2 linked regions of the Arabidopsis thaliana genome follow. The protein of the gene in region 1 interacts with the protein of each later gene in a pairwise test. Each region holds a gene or a part of one and is shown on either strand. Other genes may lie near its edges.

The links.
Region 2: the proteins of AFP3 (region 1) and AT1G21810 interact in a two-hybrid assay, tested with the Arabidopsis thaliana proteins (one large-scale study listed by BioGRID).

What each region holds. Positions count from the first base shown.
Region 1 is NC_003074.8:11,381,685-11,386,127, reverse strand, and holds AFP3 (ABI five binding protein 3), read left to right. Parts: upstream 1-1,982; 5' UTR 1,983-2,470; coding exon 2,471-2,861; intron 2,862-3,407; coding exon 3,408-3,712; 3' UTR 3,713-3,914; downstream 3,915-4,443. UniProt on the Arabidopsis thaliana protein: Acts as a negative regulator of abscisic acid (ABA) response and stress responses.
Region 2 is NC_003070.9:7,655,817-7,661,031, reverse strand, and holds AT1G21810 (filament-like protein (DUF869)), read left to right. Parts: upstream 1-1,864; 5' UTR 1,865-2,394; coding exon 2,395-2,491; exon of another isoform or gene 2,492-2,575; coding exon 2,576-3,981; intron 3,982-4,067; coding exon 4,068-4,454; 3' UTR 4,455-4,713; downstream 4,714-5,215. UniProt on the Arabidopsis thaliana protein: Ensures, when in complex with FPP3/VETH1 and COG2, the correct secondary cell wall (SCW) deposition pattern by recruiting exocyst components to cortical microtubules in xylem cells during secondary cell wall deposition by recruiting EXO70A1.

The DNA.
Region 1 (4,443 bases):
TCTCCATATGTAGAATTGCTTACTTTTATTTTTTTGACTATAAGTATAGACATGCTACTTAAGATCTATTTAAAAACCCGGAAGATATCAAATATATAGGATATAGGATACCCTCTCTCTAGGAATTAATCATGAACCTTTCCATAGGTTCAGAGATTTACCAGAAATTATAAAAAAAAATCAAAGTTTGAACTAACACTTATAAAATATATATTTCTAACCCGAGAAAAAGAGACATTGTCTAAACATGTAAATTTTATTAACAAATAGACGGATAAAGCTAGCAAAGAATTAGAGTGTGACAAAAAAATATTGAAAATATGATTGCTACTAGATATATTAATACTTTATAAAAACTTGTTATAAAAAAATATCCAAAACTATTTGACTTCCTATGATATTAGTTCCAAATAATTTAAATTTTAGATATTTAGATATTTGGTTGTCTGTATAGATATCTTCTTTTTCTGAACTGCAATGGATATATGCATTTATAAATATGATGACCAGAAACTTTTAAATTTGGATAATTGTTACCAATTTGGAAAGACATATCATAAAACAATTTACTTACAATAATAATAATAATAATAATAATCTTGTGGATAAATTATCAAAAATATTTTGCTCTATTTGCTATTTATTTCATGAACTCTTATATTCACTTCCTTTAGTTTTAACCAATCATTATGCCATGGCATATAATAATTTAATATAAATTAAAAGTTAGACAAACAAATAAAATAAATAAATTAAGAATTAATTGTAAAATCTGAATCATATGCCCTTTTTTATAAACTCATAACAACATATAATTTCATTAATTCTAAAATTTAAACTTTAACCACTTTTTATAAAGAGTAAATTTGGAAAAATGCCCTATTTTTGAGTTTTCATTTGAAAAATACCCTATTCTTTCTTCCTTTTTAAACAATTAATTTTTAATATATAAAAATACTAAAATAGCCTCATTAAAATTTAAGAATAACTTTTTAAAAAAATAAACTTAAAACAAAAAAAATTCATAAACTAAAATTTGATGTAACTAATAATTTTAAAGATAATTATTATCTAAGCTGATATATGATTTTATTTAATTTGTAAAAACTATAACGCAAACCACTCTTCTATAAACGTATATAAAATTTTTAGATATTTATATTTATAAATATGACTGCAGAAGTTTTAAGTTTATGATAGTTTTTAAAAAGCAATTATGATAGTTAGTAACAATTTAGAAACACGTATAATTTAATTTCTTTGTTTATTTTTCAAAAATATACAAAAAATTTATGTCAGCGATTTTATTTTATTTTGTATGGTATATGACTAATTTAAAAGTGGTACTAATTAGTATTATAAAAAATTATTAAAAAGTATTTTTAACCTTACGACTCTATTTTTTTACAAGTTACAAATGTTTCATAAAATTTTATTGTTAAAACACTATGATCTAAGATATTGAAACCCACGGTCAAAGTATTGCTAACATGGTCATTACATTGAAAAAGAAAATTAATTGTCTTTACTCATGTTTATTCTATACAAATAAAAATATTAACCAACCATCGCACTAACAAAATAGAAATCTTATTCTAATCACTTAATTGTTGACAATTAAATCATTGAAAAATACACTTAAATGTCAAATATTCGTTTTGCATACTTTTCAATTTAAATACATTTAAAGTTCGACAAGTTGCGTTTACTATCATAGAAAACTAAATCTCCTACCAAAGCGAAATGAAACTACTAAAGCGACAGGCAGGTTACATAACCTAACAAATCTCCACGTGTCAATTACCAAGAGAAAAAAAGAGAAGATAAGCGGAACACGTGGTAGCACAAAAAAGATAATGTGATTTAAATTAAAAAACAAAAACAAAGACACGTGACGACCTGACGCTGCAACATCCCACCTTACAACGTAATAACCACTGAACATAAGACACGTGTACGATCTTGTCTTTGTTTTCTCGATGAAAACCACGTGGGTGCTCAAAGTCCTTGGGTCAGAGTCTTCCATGATTCCACGTGTCGTTAATGCACCAAACAAGGGTACTTTCGGTATTTTGGCTTCCGCAAATTAGACAAAACAGCTTTTTGTTTGATTGATTTTTCTCTTCTCTTTTTCCATCTAAATTCTCTTTGGGCTCTTAATTTCTTTTTGAGTGTTCGTTCGAGATTTGTCGGAGATTTTTTCGGTAAATGTTGAAATTTTGTGGGATTTTTTTTTATTTCTTTATTAAACTTTTTTTTATTGAATTTATAAAAAGGGAAGGTCGTCATTAATCGAAGAAATGGAATCTTCCAAAATTTGATATTTTGCTGTTTTCTTGGGATTTGAATTGCTCTTTATCATCAAGAATCTGTTAAAATTTCTAATCTAAAATCTAAGTTGAGAAAAAGAGAGATCTCTAATTTAACCGGAATTAATATTCTCCGACCGAAGTTATTATGTTGCAGGCTCATGTCGAAGAAACAGAGATTGTCTGAAGAAGATGGAGAGGTAGAGATTGAGTTAGACTTAGGTCTATCTCTAAATGGAAGATTTGGTGTTGACCCACTTGCGAAAACAAGGCTTATGAGGTCTACGTCGGTTCTTGATTTGGTGGTCAACGATAGGTCAGGGCTGAGTAGGACTTGTTCGTTACCCGTGGAGACGGAGGAAGAGTGGAGGAAGAGGAAGGAGTTGCAGAGTTTGAGGAGGCTTGAGGCTAAGAGAAAGAGATCAGAGAAGCAGAGGAAACATAAAGCTTGTGGTGGTGAAGAGAAGGTTGTGGAAGAAGGATCTATTGGTTCTTCTGGTAGTGGTTCCTCTGGTTTGTCTGAAGTTGATACTCTTCTTCCTCCTGTTCAAGGTACATTACCATAGTTTTTGTGATCTTTCATGAGTTTGTTGAATTTGGATTAAGAGATGATTTTTTTTTTTTAAATCTTCAAGATTGAGTTTTGCTTGTTTAGATCTTTGATTATTGATTAGGGTACACGACATTGAATCTTCTTTTGGATGTAGTGATATCAACATATCATTTTACGATTATTAGATTCCCTTAGGATGGATTCATTGTGTGGCATTGTGATTGGTTTGTTGTGTTGTTAGCGTTTTTGAGTCTTTGGCTTTTCGTTTTATTTCGTGTCTTTCACTAGGTATCTTTTAGGTGTCTTAGAGTTCGATTTTTGGCCATTTTAGGTATTGTTAGTGGAAAGAAACAAAGTTTGGTGCGTTGTAGTTACTACATTGTTTGTGTTTCCATTCCAAGGGAAAAAGTATGTTCAAAAATGCACAATGTATCAAGGGATTATCGATAATATTCGAAAGCAAACATTGTATATCTTCTAGGCTTTGCAAAGTTTTTGTTGTCTTTTGTTTAGTGTTTTACTGAAATACTTACTTGTGTTTGAAGCAACAACGAACAAGTCCGTGGAAACAAGCCCTTCAAGTGCCCAATCTCAGCCCGAGAATTTGGGCAAAGAAGCGAGCCAAAACATTATAGAGGACATGCCATTCGTGTCAACAACAGGCGATGGACCGAACGGGAAAAAGATTAATGGGTTTCTGTATCGGTACCGCAAAGGTGAGGAGGTGAGGATTGTCTGTGTGTGTCATGGAAGCTTCCTCTCACCGGCAGAATTCGTTAAGCATGCTGGTGGTGGTGACGTTGCACATCCCTTAAAGCACATCGTTGTAAATCCATCTCCCTTCTTGTGACCCTTTGGGTCTCTTTTGAGGGGTTTGTTGTATCGGAACCATGTTACAAATCCTCATTATCTCCGAGGTGTATAAACATAAATTTATCGAACTCGCAATTTTCAGATTTTGTACTTAAAAGAATGGTTTCATTCGTTGAGATTAATTTTAGACCTTTTTCTTGTACAATGTTTAGTCTTTGAGATAATATACCGGCTTGTCTAATTTAAGTGTGATACATATTAAAGATTGTCACGCTAAGGTTAAATTATTTAAAGAGGATCGTCTTCGTTTCTTATATGTTTTCTATTTTCTGTTGGTGGTGATAACTGTTTTTCTTACATCAACGACGAAGATTTGCCAATACTTGGACACCCTTCAACAGAGCCGGCCCAAGATAAATTCTTCCCTAAAACAAAATTTATTTTTGGCCCATCATTAAATATAATCTACTCTATTATTTGAAACGTACATTTAATGAGGTGGGCATTTCGCAGAAATAACAAGTTTGTCATTGAGTTAAAATTTTTCTATCATGAAAAACCCGTTTAAAAAGACGCGGATCCTTTTGACCCGAATTTTAAAATAACGGGTCATAACTTCTAATCTTAGCCATTCAATTGATTTTTTTTTAGCCGTTGATTTTCTCCAGTAAAGTTTTGAAACCCGACCCGGATGATGAACCGGACTACCTTCTTGGTCACCGGGTCATCGGGTCAACCGGGTTGGACCACGGGTCAATTAGTTAAAAT
Region 2 (5,215 bases), on another chromosome or scaffold:
AGAAAAGAAAAAGGTATAATTAAAGATAGAAGAAAACTAGAAAAGTGAGTTGCTTTAATATATTTTGCATGGGATTCTTGAAATTTTTTCTATGACTTTTAGTGCTCACCTTAATTTCCTTTTTATTATTTCCTAAAGAAAAAAAGAGAGTAGTACAAGTTATAATGCAAGAAGAAGAGTCCATGTTAGGTTGTTCACAATAGTGGGAAACATTTGAGCATAAAAAATGGACCCCAAAGCATTGCCCCATTCACATTGTCTTATAGTTGTCTCTTTTCTATACATTGTTTATTTCCAAATCCCAAATCTAAAGATTTTTGTGATACATTCATATTAGAAATTATCGAGATAGGTATAGCACATCCGTTTATGGTGGAGAGTTGTTCATATCATATGTATGTAAGTTTTACCAAGTTCATTTTGATTCGAACGAAATTGGTTAAAATGTTGAAATCAATAGTTGATTCATTTGCAACTGATTTTGATATTTGAACTTTATTGTGTTTGAGGTGACAACTCAAAGAAAAAAGTGGCTTTAGTTTGTCTAAGTTCAATCAAAAGTAGGAAAGCAATGTGACTCCTCCAAAGAAAATTATATAAGAATTTATCAATGTGGTAAGACTGATGCGAAGGAAAACCTAATTTTTAGGTTAATTAAAGGACGAGTAGACATTTGTTTGTTTTGTGACTTTTGTCTACTTTATTTTGGAAACTTTTTAAAGCATTCTTTTGAAAAATCGAAACTTAACCAGCTGTTTTAAAAGTAATTTTTAGCTCTCGAAACAAGTTTAAACGAAGTTGGATAGTCAAGAATCTCAAAGAGAAATAGTACGTAATTGAATGTTTTGTCGAGTAGTTTTGTTGATTATGGTAATCTAAGATTATTTGCCACCGTTTGACAAATTTTCTTTGACCTTTGATATCAATAGGTGAGTGAATTTTTTTTTAATAGTTGTTTTGCATGAATTTCGTAATTGTTTTGTTTCTTTTGTCGAGAGCGTTGGCTGTAGGGTTAAACGGGACCATTTTAATAGATGATCGTATTCAAGATTAGGAGGAGGACCACCTACCTATTTTCTTTTACCTAACCTAAAAGATTTTGAAAAATTAAATGAAAATTTTCATAAAATAGTCCCATTTATATTGATCCAGAAAATCTTAAATTTAAGTATCACAAAAAAAATATAGCACCAAGACAAAGAATCCTTGATCAGGACGTAAGCCCCATTGGTCTGCGTATATATAGACACTATAGCATATACGAAAATGCGAATGGTATAAAACGACATGGGGATTATATTTAAAACATTATAGTATATATATGTACAAAATATGAGATTTTACGACAATAATTTGATATTAAATGATAATGTATGGTCTATATGTATAAACGTAGGTCGTGATTCATGAGTGACAACAACATGTGAGATTCAAATTTCAAAGTCTTGAACTAAAGAAAATGACGTATACTTGGAACTATTATCAACTTACAACATTTCCAAAAGTTTATTAGACGATACTTAATTCATTACAGTTTGTATCAATATTTATCCACTTAGCGCTGCTTTGTTACTTACATAGCAACAACACCCATCACAATATATTGCATTTTAATGGTAATTATTTGTAAAAATTTAATATTATTGATCATAGTTCGGCTTTCATTTTGTATTTGTATTTTTCTTTTTTCAGATAAATAAATATGTTAATGTGAAATATGAATAAAATGTGCAATATATCTCATTGGGCTTGAAATATCTAAACTAATGGGCTTGGACCAAATAATATGTGGTAGATATCTTACAGCAGCCCACTTATTTCATGGAACTAGAAAAAGTTTTTCAAATTTGTATTCTTCCATTAAATGCTGAAGAAAAAGTTAGATATCTTCTCCCTCTCTTCCTCTTTTGAAAATTGAAAAAAAAAGACATTTCAAAACTGTAAAGAATTACAACCACAAAAAGAAAGAAATTCTCGCTTTTTTGGCCATGTTATTTATTCTTGGTTTTGAAGAATCATATCATATTGCAACTGTTTTCTAGTCTGGTAATCTTGTTTTCTCCTCAACTCTTTTTTCTAATGTTCTGTAACAAATTGTTCATTACACGAAACGAAACAGAAAGATGTTGTTGTAGTTCTTTTTTAATGACATGTTATGAAGTGATTGCTAAAATCATTACCAGTTTTGTGTTCTTCTGGGAAATGTTGTGGTCCAGTCCATTATATAGTTAAGTACTTAAGATTTGTTGTCAGAGTGTCCTGAAAGCAAAATCTGGGAAAGCTGATAAGCCAAGTTACCTCTTTTTTTTTATACATATGTTTTCAAAAGTTCCTAAAAAATTGTTTGGTTTTGTTTTATTTTTCTCTTCTTAAGGTACTTAAGTTTGTGATTTGATGATGACTGGTACTACTTTGATATTGGAACCAGTTATGGATTCCAAAGATGAGCTAGTGAAACAACATGCCAAAGTTGCAGAAGATGCTGTTGCTGGTAATTAGTCACTCCTTTTCTGATCCTGCTTCTGGAGTTAGCATTTTATAGTGAAAGCATTTTCTCTTGTGGTTTTTTTTCAAGGGTGGGAGAAAGCTGAGAATGAAGTGGTTGAGCTGAAGCAAAAGCTCGAGGATGCGGCTGATAAGAACATTGTCTTGGAAGATAGGGTAAGTCATCTTGATGGGGCGCTTAAGGAGTGTGTGAGACAACTAAGGCAGTTTAGAGATGAACAAGAGAAGAATATTCAAGCAGCTGTGACTGAGAGCACCAAGGAGTTGCATTCTGCTAACACTGGTCTAGAGAAGCGAGTTCTTGAGCTCCAGAAAGAAGCAGAAGCTGCTAAATCTGAAAACATGATGCTGAGACGCGAGTTTCTTACACAGCGTGAAGACCTTGAGATTGTGATGATTGAGAGGGACTTGAGCACTCAAGCAGCAGAAACTGCTAGTAAGCAGCATTTAGACATCATAAAGAAGTTGGCGAAACTCGAAGCTGAGTGCAGGAAGCTTAGGATTTTGGCTAAAACATCATCATCGCTATCATCTAATCAATCTGTGGATAGTCATTCAGATGGAGGAAGGGAGAGAGTTGAGGGGAGTTGCTCTGATTCATGGGCATCATCAGCATTTATTTCTGAGTTAGATCAAATCAAGAATGAAAAAGGCGGCAATAGAAGTCTTCAGGGCACTACTTCATCAACTGAAATTGATCTCATGGATGATTTCCTTGAGATGGAACGTCTTGTGGCTCTTCCTACTGAGACACAGGCTAAAAACTCCAAGGATGGATATGAATTGAGCTTAATGGAGAAGTTGGAGAAGATACAAGCAGAAAAGGATGATCTTGAAAGAGAAGTTAAATGTTGTAGAGAAGCGGAAAAGAGATTGAGCTTAGAGATTGAAGCAGTTGTTGGTGACAAAATGGAGTTGGAAGATATGTTAAAGAGGGTGGAAGCTGAGAAAGCTGAGCTAAAGACATCTTTTGACGTGCTCAAAGATAAATATCAAGAGTCAAGAGTTTGTTTTCAAGAAGTTGACACAAAGTTGGAGAAGCTACAAGCAGAAAAGGATGAGCTTGACAGTGAAGTTATTTGTTGTAAAGAAGCAGAGAAGAGATTCAGCTTAGAACTCGAAGCTGTAGTTGGTGACAAAATTGAGATGGAAGATGAGTTGGAGAAGATGGAAGCTGAGAAAGCTGAGCTAAAGATATCTTTTGACGTAATTAAAGATCAATATCAAGAATCTAGAGTTTGTTTTCAAGAAGTTGAGATGAAGTTGGAAGCGATGAAAAGGGAGCTTAAACTAGCTAATGAATCGAAAACACAAGCCGAATCTCGGGTGACCAGAATGGAAGCAGAGGTGAGAAAGGAGAGGATTGTCTCTGATGGGCTAAAGGAAAAGTGTGAGACATTTGAAGAAGAGCTTAGAAGAGAGATAGAAGAGAAGACAATGATCAAGAGAGAAAAAGTGGAACCAAAGATCAAACAGGTATAGCTTTTTATTTTTCTGATCACCAATTAGTCTTTTTTTCTTTTTCTTAATCCTTGTTTCACTAAAAGCTGATTCTATTGCAGGAAGACATAGCAACAGCTGCAGGAAAATTTGCAGATTGTCAGAAAACAATAGCATCACTTGGGAAACAGCTACAATCTCTTGCAACACTAGAAGAATTCTTGATCGATACAGCTAGCATTCCAGGTTCTGCAAGGTCAGTTCACAACAAGGAAGCTTTGTTAGGAAAAGATCCTCATGAGTGCATCAAAACAATCAATGGAAGATCACTTGAGTTTCTTGCAATCCAGAACAGCAATAACAAGACCTCACCTCCTTGTTCATCTTCTTCGGACTCAACAACAGTGTCATTAATTATGTCATCAAACCGAGGGAGTTCTGAGAAGAATCGCAACGGATTTGCCACGGTTTTCACTCGAAGTAGAAACTCAGTAAATTTGGGGATTTAGGAGAAGCAATAGGTTCGTTCTTGGAGTATAGCTAGAATCAATCTGTTGTTAAGCTGGATTTCTTACCATAATTTTCAGATTCTGACTTGTTAGTAGCAAAAAGATCACCCTTGTTTCTTTTGCTACATAGTGTAATCTTCTTAACGTTTATGTCTTGTGAGATTCATCTTTGTTATTTCACTGTCACCAGTTTGATGGTCTCATATGATGCATTGTCACCAAGTAAAATATTGATTTTTGTTTTGTTTGGTTAGATAAAGACAAAGAAAACTGCAATCTGTGGTGCTGCTGAACTGCTGATGTTGAATCTATTCATTGGTCGTGTCTAAAATACAATATTTTGGATTAGATTCTAAACTGGTACATGCAACAGAACAAGCACCTGAGGTTCTATGGTGTAGTGGTTAGCACTCTGGACTTTGAATCCAGCGACCTGGGTTCGACTCCCGGTAGGACCTCTCATGCTCTTGCATTTTTTTTTCTTCCAAACATTGGTGGAAACTGAACCGGACCAAACTTCATCAACTCAACACTAAACAAACTTTCCTAATAGATTGAAAAGATTATACCAAAATTTAACTGAATAAACCAAAGTTCATTAAGATTAACTTTTATATAATGATTATGATATATAAATCACAACCAAAGATCAAACCAAAATTCTAATTTGGTTCCGTTTCCCCAAACACAAGAAGAAAAAAAGTCTGTTGACTGTAATCATCAAGAAATAACATTTACATGTAGTTTTCCTATAGAGAGAT